Linked DNA regions of Canis lupus familiaris. The main gene of each other region encodes a partner of the protein of the gene in region 3 in a complex. Links are inferred from orthologs where the notes say so. Each region holds a gene or a part of one and is shown on either strand. Other genes may lie near its edges. The genes, in order: SNRPD1, SF3A2, SF3B5, G-patch domain and KOW motifs-containing protein-like, DHX16, HTATSF1 and SNRNP40.

What was found.
Region 1: SF3B5 (region 3) and SNRPD1 share a complex: the UniProt entries of both Homo sapiens proteins name them as parts of the minor spliceosome. The link is inferred for Canis lupus familiaris from reciprocal best matches to the Homo sapiens genes SF3B5 and SNRPD1.
Region 2: SF3B5 (region 3) and SF3A2 share a complex: the UniProt entries of both Homo sapiens proteins name them as parts of the 17S U2 SnRNP complex. The link is inferred for Canis lupus familiaris from reciprocal best matches to the Homo sapiens genes SF3B5 and SF3A2.
Region 4: SF3B5 (region 3) and G-patch domain and KOW motifs-containing protein-like share a complex: the UniProt entries of both Homo sapiens proteins name them as parts of the minor spliceosome. The link is inferred for Canis lupus familiaris from reciprocal best matches to the Homo sapiens genes SF3B5 and GPKOW.
Region 5: SF3B5 (region 3) and DHX16 share a complex: the UniProt entries of both Homo sapiens proteins name them as parts of the minor spliceosome. The link is inferred for Canis lupus familiaris from reciprocal best matches to the Homo sapiens genes SF3B5 and DHX16.
Region 6: SF3B5 (region 3) and HTATSF1 share a complex: the UniProt entries of both Homo sapiens proteins name them as parts of the 17S U2 SnRNP complex. The link is inferred for Canis lupus familiaris from reciprocal best matches to the Homo sapiens genes SF3B5 and HTATSF1.
Region 7: SF3B5 (region 3) and SNRNP40 share a complex: the UniProt entries of both Homo sapiens proteins name them as parts of the minor spliceosome. The link is inferred for Canis lupus familiaris from reciprocal best matches to the Homo sapiens genes SF3B5 and SNRNP40.

The regions. Positions count from the first base shown.
Region 1 is NC_049228.1:66,463,568-66,465,826, forward strand, and holds part of SNRPD1 (small nuclear ribonucleoprotein Sm D1), read right to left. Parts: intron 1,220-2,259; coding exon 1,028-1,219; intron 1-1,027. UniProt on the Homo sapiens protein: Plays a role in pre-mRNA splicing as a core component of the spliceosomal U1, U2, U4 and U5 small nuclear ribonucleoproteins (snRNPs), the building blocks of the spliceosome.
Region 2 is NC_049241.1:57,260,975-57,264,474, forward strand, and holds part of SF3A2 (splicing factor 3A subunit 2), read right to left. Parts: intron 3,361-3,500; coding exon 3,289-3,360; intron 2,250-3,288; coding exon 2,203-2,249; intron 1,776-2,202; coding exon 1,666-1,775; intron 695-1,665; coding exon 645-694; intron 564-644; coding exon 423-563; intron 121-422; coding exon 52-120; intron 1-51. UniProt on the Homo sapiens protein: Component of the 17S U2 SnRNP complex of the spliceosome, a large ribonucleoprotein complex that removes introns from transcribed pre-mRNAs.
Region 3 is NC_049222.1:35,794,967-35,797,415, reverse strand, and holds SF3B5 (splicing factor 3B subunit 5), read left to right. Parts: upstream 1-1,204; 5' UTR 1,205-1,338; coding exon 1,339-1,599; 3' UTR 1,600-1,949; downstream 1,950-2,449. UniProt on the Homo sapiens protein: Component of the 17S U2 SnRNP complex of the spliceosome, a large ribonucleoprotein complex that removes introns from transcribed pre-mRNAs.
Region 4 is NC_049260.1:42,458,503-42,462,002, reverse strand, and holds part of G-patch domain and KOW motifs-containing protein-like, read left to right. Parts: intron 1-438; coding exon 439-593; intron 594-692; coding exon 693-817; intron 818-3,007; coding exon 3,008-3,117; intron 3,118-3,500. UniProt on the Homo sapiens protein: RNA-binding protein involved in pre-mRNA splicing. As a component of the minor spliceosome, involved in the splicing of U12-type introns in pre-mRNAs.
Region 5 is NC_049233.1:603,122-606,621, forward strand, and holds part of DHX16 (pre-mRNA-splicing factor ATP-dependent RNA helicase DHX16), read right to left. Parts: intron 2,285-3,500; coding exon 2,074-2,284; intron 1,882-2,073; coding exon 1,783-1,881; intron 1,669-1,782; coding exon 1,516-1,668; intron 1-1,515. UniProt on the Homo sapiens protein: Required for pre-mRNA splicing as a component of the spliceosome. Contributes to pre-mRNA splicing after spliceosome formation and prior to the first transesterification reaction.
Region 6 is NC_049260.1:107,807,800-107,811,299, reverse strand, and holds part of HTATSF1 (HIV Tat-specific factor 1), read right to left. Parts: intron 2,838-3,500; coding exon 2,674-2,837; intron 1,579-2,673; coding exon 1,479-1,578; intron 1-1,478. UniProt on the Homo sapiens protein: Component of the 17S U2 SnRNP complex of the spliceosome, a large ribonucleoprotein complex that removes introns from transcribed pre-mRNAs.
Region 7 is NC_049223.1:69,116,161-69,120,380, reverse strand, and holds the start of SNRNP40 (U5 small nuclear ribonucleoprotein 40 kDa protein), read right to left. Parts: upstream 2,801-4,220; 5' UTR 2,746-2,800; coding exon 2,602-2,745; intron 2,426-2,601; exon of another isoform or gene 2,287-2,425; intron 383-2,286; coding exon 253-382; intron 1-252. UniProt on the Homo sapiens protein: Required for pre-mRNA splicing as component of the activated spliceosome. Component of the U5 small nuclear ribonucleoprotein (snRNP) complex and the U4/U6-U5 tri-snRNP complex, building blocks of the spliceosome.

The DNA.
Region 1 (2,259 bases), on a different chromosome or scaffold from region 3:
TTTTTCTTAACTAAAAGAGCATAGAAAACATATAGACATTTGCAAGTATTAAGACTAATTCTTCCTGAGATTTTTGTTTTGGTTATATGCATGAATGGGCCATGATGCAAAGTATATTTCTTTTTTTTTTTTCTTTTTTTTTTTTTTTTAAGATTTTATTTATTCATGATAGTCACAGAGAGAGAGAGAGAGAGAAGCAGAGACACAGGCAGAGGGAGAAGCAGGCTCCATGCACCGGGAGCCCGACATGGGATTCGATCCCGGGTCTCCAGGATCGCGCCCTGGGCCAAAGGCAGGCGCCAAACCGCTGCGCCACCCAGGGATCCCAACAAAGTATATTTCTTAGTGGAAAGAGGGCATAAAAGTCTCAAAATCAATGTATTAAGTGACTGTCTACAAAACACCCAGCCCTTTCTCCTGCTCTACTCCTATAATGCTGGCTGCTAGGCATTATCTCCTACAATAGATGAGCAGAATCTTTTTGTGGGAGGGGTGGGGAGTGCAAAGCTTCAGAAATGACTCTAGATCCTGAAATTTTGGGTTTCCTCAGTGAAGAGGCTAACTCACTTCTGAACCACCCTACAGTGAGACTCAAGCTTATGGGTCCAGCCTCCCCTCCCAGAACTTCTCTTCCTAGGATTCTATTATTTAAATAAATGGTCAAAGTACAAGATATTCAAGTCAAGCCTACAACATAAAGATCAAAGAGAGCAAATTTGGGAAAGAGAAAGATCAGTCAATCAAGAAACAAACTCTTAACTATGTAAGAGAACAAACTGATGGTTACTAGAGAGGAGGGGGATGGGGAGATGGGTGAAATAGGTGATGGGGGTTAAAGAGTACATTCGCCACATATCAAACTGTTGAATCACTATGTTGTACACCTGAAACTAATATAACATTGTATGTTTACTAACTGGAATATAAAAACCTGAAAAATCTTGAGTATGTCTCTGCCTCTATCTGTGTGTCTCTCATGAATAAATAAAATCTTTAAAAAATAATGTTTATAATCCTTCAAACTTACCAGCTTCCCTTTTCTTAGATTTCACCTTTGGTTCAACATCCACAAGTAGTGTATCCAGAGGTAAGCTGTCTGGTAGAATGAAATATCGAATGTTATTTCCTCGAATACTCAGTGTTTCCAGCTGTACTGGTTCTCTATTCTTCAAAGTCATTTTCACAGCTTTAAGATGTGTATTCATGCTGACATCTACACCTACAGGGGAAAAAAGAGAGAGCTTATTAGCATGATAAAGAAGGCAACCAGTAAATCTATCAAGCCGAAGTAAATAACACAATACAAAAGAATACTGCCCATTCTGCTACACTCTAGGACACTGCCTATTCTGTAAGACTCTAGGACACAATTTAGTACAACTGGTTAATGGGTGAATAATGTCAATATAAACCAAAAATCCTTTCTTCGGAGATTATCTCTAGTACATTAATGTTTTGCATGATTAGGTATGCTTACAGATGTGAATGCAGCAAGCCACGGAGGAACCCTGAGTGATACCTGACTCATTCCCACTGTGCCCAGGTATTCTCATCTCAGGGCGTTCTCACTATCTCCATAACTTCCTTATTCCCCATGTCACCAAGCTGTTAAGTCTTGTTTTATTTTTTATTTTTAAAGATTTATTTATTTATTCAAAGAGAGAGAGGCAGAGGAAGAAGCAGGCTCTATGCAGGAAGCGCGACATGGGACTCGATCCCAGGTCTCCAGGATCACACCCAGGGCTGCAGGCGGCGCTAAACCTCTGCGCCACCGGAGCTGCCCCTGTAAGTCTTGTTTTAAATAAAAGATCCTATATATATTGCAGTATTTTCCTTGTTACTAGGAATTTAACACATCTTTTTAACTGCTTTTTGAAGGAATCTTACTGTTTTTAGTACTTTAATTCCCAAGTTGCACAAGTTTTGAATGCTCTGCCTCAAACTATTTTTCCCATTGCTTTTAGTGTGAGATTTTGTAAAAGAAAAGCACAATTTTCTAGAATGAATATTATGGCATTATCTTAGAAATACCCAATTATTGGAGCCTTTGCCAATATATCTGAACAAATGGGTAACAAAAGACCTAGTTTATTTCTATTCCTACAAAGTTAGACCAGAAAACATGAATTCTCTTAACTTTCCCAACATCTACTTCAAATAGCAATTATGGTCAGTGCCACAGGGTCACTAACCATGTTACTGAAACCTCATATTATTCTGATTTCCTTTAAAGCAATTGGTGTCACATACACAAATATA
Region 2 (3,500 bases), on a different chromosome or scaffold from region 3:
GCAGGGCAGCCACCGAAAGCCCCAGAACTGCCCGGACCCAGAATGACTTACCTGCTTGGTTTCCCGATTCCAGTGAGTCCAGAACTTGCCTTCGGCCTTATCGATCTCCCTGCTTGGCACCTGTGCAGGGAGTGGAGGCAGAGGGGCCTCAGGATTCGGCTCTGGGTACCTGACCTGGCCCACGTCGCCAGCCGGCCACCCCGGGGGAGGGTCGTGGTCTGTCTGGGCCCAGGACGAGGTCATGGGGTCCCTGACCAGCCTGGGAACGAGGGCTTCTTACGGCTAGGGGCACCTGGGACCTCAGGATGTCCCTCCCCAGCCTGCCAGAGCCAAGGACCCAGGTGGGGCACCCGTGAGTGGCTGGAGGGACACTCCAGCCTCGTTGCCTGCCCACGAGGATCGGTGGACCCCGCCTGCACTACCTTGAAGGCGATGGTCTCGTAGGGCTCAGCAGCCATCAGCAGGTACTGCCAGCGCCGGTCCGGAGGCTCGATCCTCTGCTCGTAGGCGGACATGAAGCGGTGGCGGGGCATGATGCCCTCGGCGATCTCAGGGTAGTCGATCTGTGGGGACACAGCAGGTGGCAACGCCGCCTTTCAAGGGACCCTCCCTCACTCAGGATGGGACTCCAGGTTTAACCTTACCTGGAAAAGGAGGCTCTGCTGGCCCATCTCCGTGTCCCTCTGCTTGGTCACTGCAACACACAAGGGTCTCAAGTCCCGACTAGCGTGTCCCCCCGAAGATAAAGGACCGTGGCTGCTGCCCACGAACGGGAGGGCAGGACACTAGAGGACACCAGCTGGCTGATACACCAGAGCTACCTGCAGTCCACGCCCAGGGCCAGGAGGGTCCCCGCGTGAGATCACACAGGGAGGGGTGTGGGCAGGAGAGTGGGCTCTGCGGCCCTCACCTGCAGGGCTGGGACAGCACGATGTGGGTGCAGTAAGGCTAGCGATGCCCGTACCCGGCTTCTGGGAGGCGGCCCTCTTCATCAGAGGCCAGTGGCCGTGCCCACACTTCCAGGCTGCTCTCCGTCCAGCTCCCAGGCACGCCACACCCTCCTTCAGCCCTCAAGCGTCCCCCTACTTTAATCAGGACAGACACCAGGTGCCCTATTATGGCCAAAAGGCCTCTAGTGGCCTCCCCACAAGGATCCTGGCATCCGAGCCCTAGCTTATGAAGCACAGCTGCACGGCTCCGTCCTGCCTGGAACGCCCGTCACCCTCGCGGCGTCCCTACCCTTGGTTAGGATACCTGCCTGGTAGTTTTTCCTTTCCTTTTAGCTCCCAGGAACACAGTCCCCTACATGCGGTTTCTTACACGGACCCCCTGCCCCACCCCACCCCGAGGTCAAAAGAAAGGGAATCGCTGACCCCCATGGCCACACACCCTCACTAGGACTGTAAAGAATCCCCAGCTCCCGAGACACTGGAATACGGCGCAGGGGAGCCACGGCACCCTGATGGGTTGTTTGGGAATGTTCACAGGAGAGGCGGGGCCGGGGCACTAGCGGGGTGCCCGTAGCGGTGCAGGTGAGGGAGGGCCCCTGCTGCGACGGCCAACGGACAGCAGTCCCGGTGGCTCACGGACAGGGTCGGGGGTCTGTGCCAAAGGCTCGTTCGCGTGCACCACCAGCAGCAGGCCAGACCACACTCCCAGAGTTACCTTTGTAGCCCGGGCGGCCAATCTTCACAAACTTCTTCACCTCCACCTTGACCTTTTCTGGTGCCGGCTGGGCGGGGGCCTCCTTGGCCTCCTTGGCAGCTCGCCGGGCCCTGCAGGCGGGACGGACACAAGCGCTGTGGCCCCTCCACACAGGCTGCCAAGGCCACAGGCCCAGGTGCTGGGAGCTAACCAGCCTCCACATTGACCTTGGGCTTTGTCTGGGAGGCGAGTGGCGTGGGGGTGCTGGCTGGGGGTCCCAGGGTTTGCCTGAAGTGGGGATGGGACAAGGTCGGGGCACCTGTCCCTTCTCATCACGTTTCCCACCGTCCTTTACTAGGGAGTCTCCGTGAGCCCTCATCTCTTTCCCACTGTGTCACGGAAGCCTCACACCCCAGCAAGACCGGTTAGCTTAACCACTCAGCCCCGAGGCACGGCTGGGCTGGGCTGCTTCTAGCGTGGCTCGCAAGGACAGACCCAAGTGCGCTTTGTGTACCTCGGAGACCAGACACGGCCCTGGAAGGAGGCGGGGGTACTCACAAGTTGGTCTGATGCTTCTTCCCTTGGGTATGCGCAAGGTAACTGCCCTGGAGCGGGAAAAGCACACACACAGCCCAAGTGAACGGGTGGGCAGAGAGGAGCCGGCCTGTGTTCACAGGGCCCAGCGCGAAGCGGACACCGGGTCACCGCGGAATCAACAAACTCTAGCAGGTCCACATGAAGTGCAATGAGACACATGCAGAGTGGGACAGAGTAGGTCTGCGAAGGTCCGCAATCACGGGGTGTGGGACACGGCAGGTCTCGCCGCCTGTCATGGGAGGGCGCCTACTGGACCTGGCTGGATGGTGCAGACTACTTGGCAACCGCTGGCAAACCCAACGGTGCACACACCCTGTGACCCTGCGCGTCCATGCTGACCGCAGCCTAGGGGACCTCTAGAGAGCAAGGTGAACCCCATGTGTTTTGGGACCACCAGGGGGACGCTGGGCCACGTTTGGGGATGTCTGTGGTCGTCAAGATGAGGGATGCTGCTCAGCACCCCCCAGAGAATGACCCGGCTCTGACGTCAGCAGTGCTGAGGGGGACAGACCCTGACACGCAAGACTGGCTGAGTCAGCACCACTTGTACACGCGCTGAAAGACCATCAGAACATTCCACAGTGTGCAGAAGACCAAACGGAATCTATTTGTCACTGAGTGGGTCAGGGCAGCCTGAGCGCTAGTTATACCATCGTGGGACAATGTACGGTCGTTCAAAGAAATGAGCTAGAGCCACACTAATGAGATCTCAAAAACTGAATCCAGAATGTCTGGGACGGGCCTGCCCCACAGCTGCAAGTCTAGTTCGTGCAGGAACGGCAGTGACGACGCTCAGGGGAAGCACGCCGGAGGGGCCCCTGGCGCACCACAGCGGCAGCGGGCTCTGGGGGCGCAGGCTGAGATGGGGGGCACTCAGGTGAGCGAGCAGATCCGGGCCTGTTGCCCTCGTTGTTGCCCTGAACAACGTCCCAGAATTAGCAGGGAGAGCACGACCAGGATGCGGACGGGCACAGAGTCCCGCCTGAGCGGGACAGGCGGCACCTGGACCTGGCGGCAGGAGAGCCCAGCCCGGAACTAGGGACGCACCTCGTTGTTGTGCAGGGTCAGGCACAGCTTGCACTCATATGAACCCAGGTGGTTCTTCATGAAGTAAGGGTCCTGGGGAGGGAAGCACACTCTGTTAGCACCCATCGCGCCCCGTGGTCCCCACCTGCTCCAGGAGGGGCGAAAGCCTTGTCTTTGTCCAAGAGGCACAGACCACCACTTGCTGGCAGAGAGGGGCAGCTGTCCCACTTTGG
Region 3 (2,449 bases):
TGCTGTGTGTACATTAGATCTCTAGACTTACTCATCTGTACCTAACTGCAGAACAGAACTATTTTAAAGTCATCTTTCTCCCACTAAAGAGTCCCTTCTATTTGCTGCCACAGTTGTTCATCCATTCATCAAACGTTTTTTGAGAATGCGAGCTCTACCAGGCCAAGTATCGCAAGTGTGGTTATCACAAAAAAGATGCCACAAAAGAAGCTATGATAAATGATGGCATCAAAAAAGTATACGCTACTTTCCCCCAAGTAGTTTGAATTCACACGAGGGAGTTCTCAGAAAAAAAAAAAAAAAAAAAGAACCCAAAGCGTAGGCTATAAGGCGATCATAATGAAGCGATGTACAGGAGACTTTACGTCTGTCTGGTGTGGCCAAAGCCGATTTCAAGGAGATGCTTTTGAGCTGACTTAAAGAGAGAAGTTGTTTGCCAAGGGAACAAAAGCATTCCAAGCGGAGGGAACATCTAGTACAAAGAACTGGAGAGGCGAGCGGCACGGAATGCTGAGACACACAGGCTGGGGTGCGTAGGGTGGGGCGAGCAGCTGGAGGCAGGACATCAAATGAAGCAGCTGGAGCGCCGGGGGGCGGGGGGGGGCGGGGGGGGCGGGGCTCGGTGTGGGAGCCCGAACGTGTCGGCGCCCGAACGTGTCGGCGCCCGTAGGGTCCTCGGGCACCGGGCGGGAAACGGCGGCCCCGCCAGCGCTGAAGGAAGACGCACAGCTGGGAGCCGCAGTCGCGTCGACCGATTCTCAGGGTGACCCACCCCGGGCCGTGACGGGGCCCACCACGCCGCCACATTCGCTCCGAAACCAAAGTTACACCGAGGTTACTCTCACGGCGGCCTGTGGCAGCTCCCCATTTCTTCGCAGCTCCCAGCCGCCCAGGGATGCTCCCCGCCTCCCCGACACGACGCTCCACCAGGCGCCGGCGGGCTCTTAAACCGCGACGACCGCCCAGGGAGGCGGGCGCGCACGAACCCTCGGCGACCGCAGCTCCCGGCATGCAACGCTCCGCGCTAGAGCAAGGGCCACTGAATGAACCATGATGCAACGCTCTACGGAGGGGGCGGAGCTCTCCATGGCGGGGGCGGGGGGTGGGCGGCCGACTGGTAGCGTCGCCTAGGCAACTCCAATTCCCTGACGGAATACACTTCCGCTTCCTCCTCTGAGCGCTAGGACCGCGAGTCCTCGCGGCTCCGTGGCTGTGACGTCATTCTCCTGCGACTGAGCCGGCCGGGAGGTGCCGTGTCGTGGGCTCTCTCCCGCGTGGAAGTCTAGAGCAGCTTCTCCTCTGCGGCGTCTGACCTGGGCGCGAAGGGAAAGCGGCGAGATGACTGACCGCTACACTATCCACAGCCAGCTGGAGCACCTGCAGTCCAAGTACATCGGCACGGGCCACGCCGACACCACCAAGTGGGAGTGGCTGGTAAACCAGCACCGCGACTCCTACTGCTCCTACATGGGCCACTTCGACCTTCTCAACTACTTCGCCATTGCGGAGAATGAGAGCAAAGCGCGAGTCCGCTTCAACTTGATGGAGAAGATGCTGCAGCCTTGCGGACCGCCAGCCGACAAGCCGGAGGAGAACTGACACCCCCGTCTCGTCACTGCCACGCGGGAGCGTGTCCCGAGTTCCTCCCGTTTGCCGTTTCTCCCGCGTGTTCCTGCCCCGAAGTGGACCGGTTCTCCATTGCTCCTGTTTCTCGCGCCTTCCTCGTGCACAAGTGCTTAGCTGAGGCCGTCCCGCCTGACCTGCTTTCCTGTGGACCCTTAGGAACAGCGTTGGGAGACTGTCAGGACCCGTGAGAACTGAGACGGTGGAGAGGTCCTAAACCAGCAAGAGAGGGGGGAAGGAACTGGGATCAGACGGGATTTGGAGGCTCTTTTTTGGCTAGTTGATTGTCGTTTCTTTTTCCATAAAGTCTAGAAGTTTTTCAATCACTTGGTGTGGACCACTTGCGTTTGAGTGGAAGGGGGTCCAAGGAGGGCTTTGGGGACTTTAGTTTCTTGGGAGACCGAAGAGGCGGGAGATGGATGGGTGGAGGAGTTGAGCACAGGGCCAGCGTTCATTGGCATACAGTTAAATCCGCCTTGCACGATCTTTATAATATTCCCCAACCCAGACTTCTCCCAAGAGCTTTTTTCAGGCCCATAATGCCTTCAGGACTGAGGATTAAGGTTTATGATCACTGTATCCCTCTTTCATGTTCTTGCATTCAGAAAAATCTTTACTAGCATTGCCCACTCCTCTATGTAAGTTGCATCGTCTCTTTCTCTTGGGATTCTGGACACATCCTGAAAAACGACAGGCTGTCAGACGAGTTCTTTCATTCATTCGGCATTCAACAAATACTTGTTGAGTCAGTTCTATGTGGTGGGCATTTTGCCTCGCTTTTGGAGCTTATGTTATACTTGGGGGGGCACACAAATTGTAGGCATAA
Region 4 (3,500 bases), on a different chromosome or scaffold from region 3:
TAGTGTGGGGAACGGGGTGGATTGGCAGATTCAGGTTTGGGGAGGCCATCATCAGGTTAATTTGGAAAAGACAGTCAGAGGGTGAGACTTCCAGAAGAGAATCAACCATCCAGGAGGTTGATGGGGAGCCTGGAACTGGGGAGAATCTGGGCTGAGGATGGTGATTTGTGAGTCATTGTGAAGGCCATGGAAGTGGGTGTTGGGATGAGCAGAGGGTCCAAGACTGAAGGCTGATTCCTTAAAGGCACTGACATTTAAGAGTTGGGGGTGAGGGAGAGAATCCAAAGAAAGCACCATTAGAGACTCACAGGAGAACAGAGGGTGTGGTCAGATGGGGGGGGTGAGTTTGGCTCTTGTGTTTTCTCTGAAGGGAGTAGTGTGGCTCAGAACCCACTGACATGCTACTCTCCCAACTTCATGCTTCTGTGTCCACATTAGTGTGAAGCCCTCAGAAAACCCCAAGGATCTCATCATCCCTTTGATCCAGAATGGCCATCGCAGGCAGCCACCAGCCCAAGCTCCTGGGCCATCCACAAATACTGAGGCCTTGATGGATGGAGTGCTGTCCCAGGCTGTGAAGGAGCTCATTGAGGGTGAGTGATCCCCTCTTCGCCATCCCCCTGTGAAGGAAGTGGGGGAGGAAAATGGAAGGATATGGTGGGACCTCATTGCTCCCTCCCATTCTTCCTTAGACTCCAAGAAGTCCCTGGAGGAGAGAGAGAATTCGGGTGTCGACCCCACGCTTGCTATCCCCATGATCCAGAAAGGATGCATTCCTAACGGGGAAGGGGCAGACAGCGAACCCCGGGCTGAGACAGTGAGCTGGCCCCTAATTCCTCCTGCCCCAGCCTCCCTTTGCCCTGTCTGCCAGACTTGCCTCTTTGCATACAGTGGGGCGGGGGGTACAGTCTGTGTGCGTGCTACAGGCCTGCTGCCTATCCCTTCCTCCTTCTGTCTTTTTTGGGAAGCATTAAAAAATTAATCAAGATACTGAGGTGTGGAAAACACTTGCATTCTGGGATTATCTGAACAAGATGAGGGGCAAAGGGAACAGGAAATGCAAAGATCCTAAGGGTAGACTCAGCCTGGAGTGTTTGAGGAACATCAAGGAGACCAGTGTAGCTGGAGTAGAATGGATGAAGGGGAGGAGAAGAATATGAAGTCAGAAGTGGCAGGGGCTAAACTAAGCAGGGCCTTGTGGACCATGGTGAGGACTTTGGCTTTTATCCTGAATGAAATGAGAGCCATGAGAGGGTTCTGAGCAGAGAGGGGTAAAAACTTAAGATTTGACAAGATCTCTGGCTAGTGTGAGCAGAACAGAATAGTAAGCAAAGAGAACAGTAGTGCAGGCTAGAAATGATGGCCAGTCAGACCAGAGTGGTAGGAGTGAGGTCTGGAAGGACAGGTAGGGTTTAGTGAGTGAGGGAAGAGCAGGGTGAGTACTAATGGCAGCAACAACCCCAAGCAGTGGCATGGTGGCAGGGAGTCCATGTGGTGTGGGTCCATCAGTGAAGCAACCCGCCGTGTGTCTAGAGTGAGTATAAGGAATTGAGAAAAAAGAGAGAAAAAAAAAAAAAGGAATTGAGAGAGGAGGGAAGAAAAGAATTGAGGGAGTGAGGATGGAATGTGATAGACAACAGAAGTGAGGGGAGTGTCTACAGAAGCAACCAAGTCTGTCTTTTATACCCATGGACTCCACTCTTCACCTCTTTATTCACAATGTTTTAGCAATGCTTCTTTGGGGCCTAGTTCTCCTACAGCCCCAGACCATCCTCTCTTTCGACTGAGCTGTTCTTGTTGGCCTTCACCTGTCTTCTGGCTTCTTTGATCATAAAAAAAAGACCTTCACTTCACTTTCCATCCTGTTCCTGCTTTGGCCTCAGTTCTCTCATATTCTCTCCTTCTCCGGCCTTTTACATCTCAGCTGATCACAGCTCCACCCCATCCTTCTTCTCACTTGGCCTAAAAACCTTAGAGTCTCTCTTGACTTCCCCCTTTATTTCATACCCCATATGCAGTCTTTCAGCAAAATCCTATCATCTCCCTTTGCAGTATACATCCAGAATTTGATCACTTCTCACCATCACCACTCCTACCACTCGTCTGAGCTACCAGCATCTCTCATCTGGATTATTGCAGTAACTTCCTCACTGGGACCCCTTGTGGAAGCCACCCTCCTGTGGCTCCAGCCCAGATCTCCTGATTAATCTTTCACTGCCCCTCTTCCTCCACCTCTTTCTCAGTCAGGTTGACCTTCATGATGCTCTTACCACTTGCCAGACTTGTTCTGCCACAGGGCCTTTGCTCTTACTGTTCTCTCTGCTTGGACTACCCACCTATCCTTCATGCTTCTCATATCGTTATGGCCCCCACTGTCATTTCTTTCTGGTCTCTGCTCAGATATCAACTCCGTGATACTCTCTTCTGCATCCCTCTGCATCCCCTTAATCTGCCTCATTTTTCTTCATATAACTTATCACTACCCGACATGCCACGTTTTATGTATTTTTATATGTATTTTTTATTATTTTTTTTTTTAGATTTTTTATTTATTTATTCATAGAGACAGAGAGAGAGGCAGAGACACAGGCAGAGGGAGAAGCAGGCATCATACAGAGAGCCTGACGTGGGACTCGATCCAGGGTCTCCAGGATCACACCCCAGGCTGCAGGCCGCGCTAAACCGCTGCGCCACTGGGGCTGCCCCTATATGTATTTTTTAAATTGTATGTCTACAACTAGAACGTCATCCCCACAGGGCAGGATCAGGGATTTTTGTCTGTTTTGGTTATCCTCGTCACCTAGGTCAGTACCTGGCACAGAATAGGTGCTTTATAATTATTTGTTGAAGGACAACATGGATGAGTAAAGTGAGGGACAGCAAGAGGAAATCAAAACTAACCTTGAGCTTACTGGAAAAGCACTAAGGGTCACTCATTGGGTAAGCAGGCTTCAGAGGGCCCACCATGGGCCAAGCCTGACTGTCCTTCCTTTGCCTGAATTTGTAGGTGCCAGAGGAAGCTGATTACGAGGCAGTCCCCGTAGAGGCCTATGGGCTGGCCATGTTACGAGGCATGGGCTGGAAGCCTGGTGAGGGCATTGGCCGCACCTTCAATCTGTGAGTTCTGGGGTGGGGGCAAGGGGCAGCAGACAGGGCAGTGAACAAGACCCCGTGGGTTACTGCTCATCCAGAACCAGAAGCTTTCTGCAACTGTTTCAGTCTCCTGTTTGCTCTTTGTTTGTTTGTTTGTTTTTAAAGATTCATTTATTTAATCATGAGAGACACAGAGAACGAAGCAGAGACATAGGCAGAGGGAGCAGAAGTAGGCTCCATGCAGGGAGCCCGATGCGGGACTCAATCCTGGATCCCAGGACCACGCCCTGAGCTGAAGGCAGATGCTCAACCGCTGAGCCACACAGGCATCCCTCCTGTTTGCTTTTTGAAACTCTGTAACGGGATCCCTTCTGTACGGGGTTACCTTTCTGAGCATTAGCTTCCTC
Region 5 (3,500 bases), on a different chromosome or scaffold from region 3:
AGAAGCAGGCACAGATAAGGGACAGGAGCAAAGAGGATTATTGCCTAATGTCAGAAGACAGGGACAAGGCCAGGAAGGGTTCAAGGAGAGAAGGAATGAAAAGAGACATAAGGGAATCCCTGGGTGGCTCAGCGGTTTAGCACCTGCCTTCAGCCCAGGGCATGACCCTGGAGACCCATGATCGAGGCCCACATTGGGCTTCCTGCATGGAGCCTGCTTCTCCCTCTGCCTGTGTCTCTCATGAATAAATAAATTTAAAAAAATAAAAATCTTAAAAAAAAAGAAAGAAAGAAAGAAAAAAAGAGACATAAGGCGGAAAGGAAATGGGAGGAGTTAAATTTTTTTTTTTAGAGATGGGAGAGGGAGTCCAGGTCCCTGCCTCCATCTTTCCCACTACCACTTTCACAATCTTCCTCAGCTAGGACTTCCTTCAATAGCCTCCTCATGTGTCTCCCTGCCTCTACTCCAAGTCCTGCTTACCTGGCATTCTTCTGGCACCCAGATTGTCCTTTAAAAATGTAAACCTGTCACATCACTAACACCATCCGTTGATGGCTTCCCATCCTACTGGAGAATTATATCCAAGCCCCTTAAGTCTCCAAGTGCTCTACCTTTCTGATCTCATCTCCAAGGACTACAGGCTCCGTCGTTCCACTCCTGCACAGTTGCTCCCTGGCTGGTCTGAGCACACTCCTCACTCGGGTCCTTTGCATGAGTGCCTTCCTTTGCTGGACACACTCCCTTCCCAGCTATCAGCCTGGCTCCCTCCCTCACTGGGTTCAGGCCTCAGCTTCCCTTTCACCTTCCCATACCCCAAGGAAACTACCTTCCTGACATTGCTCACTCCCAGCCTCCCTGGAGTCAGTCTCCTTTTCCCCCATGTTGGGCTATATCTCTCCACAGCATTGGTCACAAATCAGCATCAGGCATCTACGCGTCCACTGTCTCCTAATTTAAGTTAGACTGTCGGCTGTGAGGCTAGGGACTTTGTTCTGTTCATCACTGTATCTTCATGCCCAAGAAGAGTATCTGGCACATGGCAGGAGCTTGTTATACATTTGTTGGATGGAAGTTACGTCTTTGCTCAAAACCCAATCATCTAAAGTCAAAATGCTTCCAACTGCTATCAAAGGCCTTCCCTAATCTCAGTCCAGAATTGTTTTCACCACATGAACCTTCCCCTCAGCCTTTTGGATTACATTCTGACTTAAACATACCTTAAGCCTTACTCTGGTATTACCTACCTTTTTTTCCCTAAAGATCCAAATCAAATCCCACCTTTTGGCACCCTGAGGACTTCCCTTCTCCTCTGCATCTCCACATACTTACTAACTGGATCAAATATTTGCTGAATTCACCCTCTCTCTCCAGCTCTGGAGGCTAGGGATTGACTACAACTAAGCCTTGCAGCTGCAGCAGTGCCCAGGACATAGCCTGCATAGGGCAGGCACACACCCTCTTTTTCACTATTTGTGTGAACTATAGGGGTGAAGAATGTGGGCGTCTCCAACTGACCTTTCGTGCCCCCGGGGGTGTGGGCTGGAAGATACGGGCCTGCATGTCAGAAGGCAGGTTGGCATAAATGGGTAACACCAAGAGCTCCCGGATTTTGGAGCCCAGGCGGCGGCAGCGATCTTGGAGCATCTCACAGGCAGCCTCAATCTCCTCCTGGATTTGGGATGGGGAGAGCAGTACAGGTCCCAGAGTGACAGAAGGCCCACCTGCCAGCTCTGTTTTCCCCTGGGATACACACCTCATTGTCCCTTGCCCCATGTCTCACACCTGTCCTGTCAGGAACACCAGGATATCCCCAGGGGGCTGGGTCACATGGATCTGCAGCACAGACACCACACAAGCTTCTAGGTAGTCAGCCTCTGGAGCCTGGGGGTGAGGAGGAGAGGGTCACAGGAAGGCCATCTGTTCAAGAAACTTCCTCTTCTCCCAGCTCAATAATCAGTTTATCCCAGTTCTTCTTCAGACTCTCCATTTCCCCTTCCCTCCTTGGGACTACCTTCTCCAAAGGCCCAAGCTTTTCAGCCTCGCACTTCAGCCCATCCTCCCTGAGGGGAGCACCTTGGTATAGAAGATGTCAACTGGAAACCTGCGTCCAGGGATTCGGAAGACAGGAGCATCATCAAAGAAGGTGGAGAAACGGGCAGTGTCCAGTGTGGCTGAAGCCACCAAGACTTTCAGCTCAGGCCGGAAACGAGCAACATCCTTGATTAACCCGAAGAGAATGTCTGTGTGTAGGGTTCGTTCATGAGCTTCATCTACCATTACCACACTGGGGAAAGAACAAGAGAGCTGTGAGCCAGGAGAGCTGCCCAGGAGAGGACAACAGGATCCCCTGGACAAGGGCACAAAGGGAAAGCAAAGAGCCCAATGGTGAATATGGGAGGGGGGGTTCCAAAGAGAGGCCAATCACCCCAGTTAAGGAAGACTAATACAATGTTAAAGAAAGCCAAAAGAAAGAAAAGAAAAGAAAAGAAAAAAAAAAAAGAAAAGAAAAGAAAGAAAAGAAAAGAGAAAGGAAAGAAAGAAAGAAAGAAAGAAAGAAAGAAAGAAAGAAAGAAAGAAAGAAAGAAAGAAAGAAAGAAAAGAAAAGAAGGAAGGAAGGAAGGAAGGAAGGAAGGAAGGAAGGAAGGAAGGAAGGAAGGAAGGAAGGAAGGAAGAAGAAAGGAAAGAAAGAAAGGAAAGAAAGGAAAGAAAGGAAAGAAAGAAAGAAAGAAAGCCAAGGGCCCGCAGTCTGCAGTTTATCTCAGCCTGGACAGACAACAACGGCCAAGATCTGGAGGCTGAAAGCCAAGGCCAGGACAAGTCACATATGCTCTCTGGATCAGAGTCATGGATCTGTTAGACTCAACAGAAATAAGAGTTTCTGTTTTAAAGGGGGGGAAAAAAGTGAGAACAGGGCCTTTGGGAGTAAGGCTGGGCTCCCCAGGCTGGCTGAGAATGAACATACAGACCTGAAGCACCAGGATTTGCACAGCCCAGGAGCTCCTAGGCTTCCATGAGACTGCTGTTGTGCATGTCTCTTGGTCCTGCTGCATCCTTCTGGAGAGAGGAACCAGGTAAGCCTGTCTGTCTGTCTTTCTTTTCTTTCTCTCTCTCTCTCTCTCCGTCTCCTCTCTCTCTCTTTCTTTCTTTAGGTTTTATTTATTTATTCATGAGAAACAGAGAGAGAGGCAGAGACACAAGCAGAGGGAGAAACAGGCTCCCTCTGGGGAGCCCAATATGGAACTCAATCCTGGGACCTCAGGATCATGCCCTGAGCCAGAGGCAGTCGTTCAACCACTGAGGGACCCAGGTGTCCCCCAGTAGGCCTTTCTACCCCAATCTTAGAGGGCTCTGCGGGCTTCTTGGTCTCCTCCTTAGTTATATGTGGGACACATCTTTGATATCTTTGCTAAAGTCTTTGGATTCTCAGGTGACAGCCATGCCTGCAGGAGCTCACCCCTGACCTCAATTCTTTGTGCGTATCCCTGACTATGCCAGTGAAG
Region 6 (3,500 bases), on a different chromosome or scaffold from region 3:
GAGAAACTAAGTCTGCACAATGTGATGGCCAGATTCAAATTAGGTGGCTCAATGAGCAAGGCAAGAAGCAAAACACAAAAACAGATGTAATTACACAACAGACTTCTACTCACAGAGGTTCCAGACAATTTGAATTAAGTTTGCATTAATATTCACATTCAAGTGTTAAGAATATGGAATGCATGCATCAAACCAAGGACATGAAGTCATAGACATTAATAGGTCATGTAATTTTAAAAAGCCATTTAATATTTAAATGAGATGAACTCTAAGAAATTGGGAGCCATACCTAATAGATAGGGATACCCTGGGGTCCATCTAAATTCCTTTCAAATCTCTATTTGGCAGGGGAACGGTTTCAAAAAGTGTTTCAAGATGAGTCAGGATTCTACTCAGTAGAAACATCAAATGTTACAAATTGACCACATGTATCTCCCCAGTGATCTCAAAAGATGCACAGACCATATGGGTGCACAGCAAACTCTACCACATGACTCTGGGCTGGGATGGAGCTCAACAGACCATAGGGGGTTCTCTCCAAGGGGGCTACAGTGAAACTGCCATGCTCACTGTTTCAATGCACAGGAGTGAGAAAGGTCTTTGGTTGCACCTAGATCATTTGTAAATCTGGAGTTTCACAGTATGAACCTTCTTTGTTGTTGTGTGACTTGTTATTTTTATGTTTACTTATGTTGACTTGTGGTCTTTATCTATCTTGTGTGTAACTGGTTGTCATTAATTTCAGATTCCAGGGAGAGGAGAAAGACCTGATGCCACACAAGTGCCGTCTGTGGTTTGGATAAAAGACTAGCCCCAAGGACAAGAGGCAGACCAGCGCAAGGTGCCCCGGCGGCATGCTATACCTTGCACACCTCTTGCACCTGTCCAGCTCTTCTTCACTCTGTTCACTTTTGTTCGCTGTTCTTAGAATTTTACCTGGACACTAAGTATTTATAAAGTCCCCCTAATAGCCACAAAAGCATTGTATGAACGTCAGGTCTCGAAAAACCACCTTTAGTATTTAAACACCAGGAGCTGTCTTTCATTAACCTGAGGGTTTTTTTGTTTTGTTTTAAGGATCAAATTTGTGGTACCAAAGTGAAGTTCTCATTTGCCAAGTATAAAATGACTCCCCGCCCAAACCGGCCTGTGCTTGTTGAAATGCACTCAAAATCCATAAGCAGCGCCCAGAAATCTTTCAGTGATTATATTTTTAATGATTTCCCAGAGTAAGTAGCTGCTGTTTACAGCTGCAGTGTGGGTGTTAAGCAGTGTTCCCTGGGGGACAACTAAAAGAACCCTAGGCTGAATGTGGGAAAATTTAAACATTTTGATACACTCTTAGCTCTATTTTCCTACCTTGACAACTACATGGAGGGGTGGTATGTGACATGTGAAAACATGGGGTGAAGCAAGCTTGGGACTCCCTTGAAAGAAAACACATCAGTGTTTCCATCAGTGGGAATATCACCTCCTACCTCAAAATCCATCGGATGAAACATATTTTTGATGATGACAACTCGCTCATGGCGCATTCGAGATGGGCCAGCTCTTCTCTCAGGTCTCCAGTCCAACTGCCTAATGCAATAGAGCAGGAACAAGATACTGAATTTTGTTTCATACTTGCAGGACAGAAAAAAAGGAGTTGTTACAATCAACCTTTATTTGAGTATATAGTGATGCTAATTATTCGATTCTAAAATAACAATATGTATTTCTGGAGAACTTTCGGAAGTAAAACTAATGGGCAGGTGAAAGATGGACCCAGTGTCTGAAATTCCCAGAATGTATCTTTTTTCAGGGCTGCTGTCTGGTTACAAATGTTCCAGTAAGATTCCTGTAAAGAGCCAATTATTTAATATTTATGACTATCTGGTATCTACGCCTACACTTTGAGGGCAAAAAATACATTCTACTTGTATTGGTTTTGAGGCATTTTATGATTATAAGGACCAAACTACATTGAAATATGTAAAACTACTGTTACATAACCAAAAATTTTATTGCTAGGTGTTTATAAAATTGGTAGGTATCTAGCCTATTCCTGTAAAAACTATAGGATATCACAACTCAACTCCTTTATCAGCACTGTTATCATTAAGTTGAGTGCAGTGTTAGAAGTGTTATTAGAACTCACTGTGATAGAAGAAAATACTTATCATTTCAGCCAACTTCTTAAAACCAGCATACTTCAAAAAACCCATTGACATGAATGGATTAGTAGACATTTGATGATGTTTACTGTACACACCGTGTACAACCCTATCAAATACAGTCATAAAAGCTGCTGTTTCTAACTCCTACTGATGAGCCTACACAGACGCCTTAGCTCCTGGCGTAGCTGATGTCAATTCACATTAGAAATGAACTAATGGCTCTGGTAAACAAGCTTCAACTATTTTATTTAACTTCATGTTCAACTTCTTCCAGAGATGGCCCTCTCATCTCATTGAAGCCCGGTTTATATTACAAATTAACACTCCAGGAAATAGACATGCTGCCACTGCCAGATCATCCTGCAGTAGAGATGACTGAAGGTTTCTGATGATCTAATGAAATTCTTTGAAAATAACTTCTGCATACATTTGATGGAACACAACTAAGGAGCTACACCCAAAACATAGTCTAGGATATGTAAATGAAATCATTCAAAAAGCGAAAATCAACACAAACTTCTGTTGCAGAGACAGCTTTTTCTTGTAGTCTTTGCACTTCTTCTTCTTCTTTGAGGCATCATACTCTCCCTTCAGTTGAAACTTGGCCACTTCGACATGCAATTTGTAGCCTCTAATTTCATCTTCGTCCAGAAGCTTTAACGCGAGATCCACAGATTCCCTCTTTATAAAAAGGTAAAATGAGATAGAATTTCCATGCTGAAATGAAACTTGGGGAGGTTTTTTAGGCAAACGATGACTATATGGACAATAAAGATTTCATCACAACTACCTCCTTTGAGATAAAGAACTCTAGGCTGCCTTATCAGGAAACCTGCACTCTAGAAACAGCTGTCCTCAACCAGTTTTGTGAACTTGGGCAAGTTATTCAATTTCTTCATCTGTAAAATGGGAAGAAAAATGCCTTCTTTGCAGGGTTCTTGACAAAATCAAATGAAAGAACGCACATAAAGGATAGGGACTGGCATATAGAAGGTACTTAAACTGCATTATTATTGGAATAAGAGTATTACCTCTTGGGAGTCTCAATTTCTCAATGAGGCAAATGGACTTGTGTGACTTTTAAGGTACAGTTTTATTTATTTATTTATTTTTAAAAATGTATTTATTTATTCATGAGAGACACACACAGAGGCAGAGACATAGGCAGAGGGAGAAGCAGGCTTCATGTAGGGAGCCCAATGCGGGACTTGATCCTGGGACTCTGGGACCCCGCCCTGAGCTGAAGGCAGACACTCAACTACTGAGCCACCCAGGCATCCCTACGGTACAGTTTTAAAATTCTCAAGTACTACTACTTAAAAGACTACATGACTCAAGGAACTG
Region 7 (4,220 bases), on a different chromosome or scaffold from region 3:
GCCTCCATGAGGAAGATATTCTCAAAGAAGAGCAACTCACTTTTCAACTAGTAACATAATCTCCTCTGTATTTACCACATGGATCTTGAGGTCTATATTCAAGATCATTCAACATTCTCCTTACACTGTTTTAGCTATGCAGTTTGTAATGCGAATAATCCAGACTGATACACTCTGTGGCACTAAAGGTTTTAAAAAATAATCACTATTTAGCAGAGAGTGATTATCCCAACTTCAAAAACTATCTCTTACATATCAGTCGATCAAAGCCTGCAGATGCTAAGGTGGATCCATTGGGATGAAACTTGCAGCAGTACACTTCCCCTTCATGTCCTGAGAGAAGCATGATTGGCGCTTGAAGGGAGGAACACCTTGGAGGTCCCTAAACAAAAGACAGAAGTACAGGGTAGTTACTACATACAGGCAAAGGAGACTACAAAAGACACGGTAAACAATCATTGAGTAGATTTCTCCTGATTTAGAGAATGGTAACTCTTCTCACATTAACTTAGGCCTCCAATTTGATACCCTCCTACTCAAGTGTCCAGTGTCTACCAGTTATACTGACTACTCCCTCAGGCTCCTTCTGTCCCATAGCCAACTTTAAATTGCTCAAATATGCTAAGCTCATTTCTGTCTCAGGATCTTTACACTTCTTGCTCCTGATCGGAATCCTCTTCCCTTGATCGTCCTGTGTTTAGCTCTTTCCAAATGTTTCCTCTTCAGAAAGTCTTTCATTGATCACTCAAACTCAAAGCAGCATCACACCTCCCCTCTGTATTCCATTAATCCTACTGTATTTCCTCACAGCACTTAAGACTACCTGAAATCACCTTCCTTTGTATTGGTTTACACATTTTGTCCTCTTCCCCGGTAGAAAAGCAGCTTTGTGACTGCAGGGACCCTGCATTCAACACTTTTCCCAGTCTCTAGCACATTTAATTAATGCCTGAACTGAGCTTCCCAACAACCCTGCAAGGTACATATTACCCAGGAAAGTAGTTTTGACTATGGTCTTGACACTAAACCTAGGCTTGGACAATTCACTGGAACCTGGGCTGACATTCCGGTCAGAGAGAAGACCTGGTACACTATTGATAATCCCCAAACATCCTTAATAGCTTTCAGTTTACTCATTTATTTAAAAAAAAAAAAAAATTAACGTGCCAGGCACTGTTTTAGGCGTTGGGAAAACAGTACTGAACAAAATAAACAATGGAGTTTGTGTTCCCGTGGAAAGGAGGAAGAGAAGAGACGAAGAGAGAAAACAAAACATATAGCAGGTTGGTATGTGCTACGGAAGAAAAAAAGCGATGTGGATTAATACATATGGGGTATTGCAATTTAAAACAGGGTAGTCAGGAAGGCCCTTACTGAAAAAGTGATATCTGAACAAAGATTTGGAGGATCTGAGTGTGTAAACCACGTGGATATTTTGAAGAGCATTCCAGTTGAGTGCAGCAAATGCAAAGGCTTTGAGGCAAGAGCATGGAAGCCAGTGTGACTGGAGCAGGGGGAGTAATGGAAAATTGGTAGATCTGAGAGGTAAAGGGAAAATGGGCAAAAGATTTTAAGGATTGTAAGGATTTAACCCTGGGTGAAATGGAAAGCCATCAAAAGTTTTCAGCAGAGGGTAACACGAGCTGACCTTTAGCAGGATTCTCTAGCCACTGGACTGAGAATAGATGGACCATAAAAGAATAGAAACAGGAAATACCAGTTAGGACCTCACTACAATAATGCCAGATGAGAAAAATAACGGCTTAGACCAGGGGCGAGTGATGGAGGTGGCACAAGGATTAGCAATTTGGCATCTATTTTGAGGACGGTGTGCCAGCAGGATTTGCTCACCGGCTGGTGGAGAGGTTGAGAGTGGAGACGTTTACTTCTTGATCGGAGCCTACCAGCCCAGCAGAGGGGTGATCGTTATTACCTCCATCTTACAAGAAATGCAGTTAAGAGCATGGATTCGGCTTTAAAACCGTTTCCTATCACTTACCGGGTTAAGAGCTTACAAAACAGGGCACTGAGAGTTCCTAACTCTTAAGCTGTTACCAAGATTAATGGGGTTTTCATACACAAAGCCCTTAGGACAGGTATTAAATGAAGGTCAGCTCTCGTTCCGTTGTTGTTAGTAACAGTACTAGTGCTGAGACATGGGGGGGGGGGGGGGGGGGGCGGGCATCTTGACCAAAGCAAGCCGGGCTCATTCGTTTCCTTTCTCTCCTCATTCATTCATTCATTCATTCATTCATTTTTTTCAGCCGTTCTACAAAGTTTTCTGAATGTTTACTCCACGCTGGGTCCCTGTGGAAGATTTAATACGAAAAAGCCCCGGTGCGGGTTTTGACTTCAAGGTCCTTAACGCTAAATGTAACGCCACCTCCCAGGGTGGTCGAGACGCTGAAAGCGGGCGTCCAACCAGGTAACGAGCGGAGCGTCCCGGGGGGGCAGGGGGGGTGTCGACCGCTTTTACAGTGTTTCCTGTGTGAACTGCAGGCAGCTATTCCCGTTCCTACCCCGCACTGCGGGATCACCGGGGGCGGGCTCCCTGAGGGGAAGATGAGCTGAGGCCCGAGGGCCGCCCGCGACTCCACTTACCGCTTGTAGCAAAGCTCCCGGCGCCGTCTGCTGCTGCCCAGCTCCGGGGCCCGACCCCGCCGCTCCCAACAGCAGCTCATGCCGCTGCCGCTTGACTGGGACCAGTGGCAACTCCGGGCCTTTGCGCTTTTGCTGTTCTATCATGGCGGCAACCGCTCTCCTCAGCGCCGCCACTGACCGCGCCGACACCCTCAGGCAGCGCGCGATTGGTTCCGACTTAGTTCTTCCCCCAGAACTTCCGGCTTGGAGTAACCAATCGGTCTGCAGCAATCCCCTCTGCACCGCCTCCCTGAATACTCTTCTTTTATTGGTCAGTTCTTTCTGGCGTCACGGGAGTGCGGTGCTGGGATTGGTGGGTGGAGCTGGAGTCCCACCTAGGCGCGCTGGGTCTTGTGGGTGGAAGCGTTGTCTGGTTTTGGCGTTTCGCGCAATGCTGCGGCCGGGAGACCGGGAGCTGACCCAGAGTAAGTGGAAGGAAGGTCGAGGGTGGGTGGCTGCGGCATCTAGAGACGGCGCCTCGGTTGTGTGACGTGAGCCTGGCTCTTCTCAGCTGAAGGTTTGCAGGGGCCTGAGGCGGGCCCCGGGGTCCCAGCGTCGGCGCGTAGCAGCCTGGGTTCCCCTTCTAGGCTGGAGCAGGGCTTTGGGGTCTCTGCGGCCGCCCGGGGCCCTCGTCCGCCGACTCGTTCGTCCAGCGCCTGCCGTGTCCAGCCCTGTGCCTGTGCCGAACGCCCCCAGGGAGGAAGGGCCTGTCTCCCAGCTCCACCAGGCTCCTCTCTCTGACTGAGGAGGCCGGCTTGTTTCTGCCACTGGTCATGCAGCCTTTTACGAGGGCCTGCTCAGTGCCTCTGGGAGAGACAGGGATGAGAGGAGTATCCGACTGCTGCTTCTCCAGAGCACAGTCCTGTGGAGAAATTCGGAATCATATCTGGGAACTAGGTCTCCTTAATTGTCCAACTGGTGTTTATTGGAAAGAGCCCTGAGAGGATACATTGTGAACCAAAGATGGTCCCACGTCGGGCCCCCTCCATGGAGCCTGCTTCTTCCTCTGCTTGTGTCTCTGCACCCCCCCCCCCGTCTCTCATGAATAAATAAATTAAAAACAAACAAACAATTCAAATATTTGAATATTGAGGGCAAGCATGTTAAACAGTGATCTCACTAAGAGCTTTAAAATACGTGCTGCCTAGGAGAGGTGCCTGATGTTATGAGTGTCTGCAATAAGCAGAAAAGCCTCTGTGAGGAAAAGATGCCCGAACTGATACCTGAAGGAAGAATTGTAATTATTTGGGTCAAGGGAGAAAGGCAGAGCGTTCCATATAGAACAACATGTGCAGGGGCCCTGCGGCAAATGGGAGGAAAATGACTGAACGGCAGAAAGAGGCCACTATGGCTACTTCAGAGGGAATGAAGGAGGGTCTGGTACAGGATGCAGCTGGAGGTGGGTAGAGGTGCAGGATTTTTACTTCAGGACTGATGGGAAACGACCGAGCTTTTTGTTTGTTTGTTTGTTTTGTTTTTGTTTTGGTGGGGGGAGAGAGTGGTGTGATGGGACAGGTGGTGGCTTGATCACTCAGTAGCATAAACAGATTGGAGGAGAGATAGATGCAGATCGACCATTT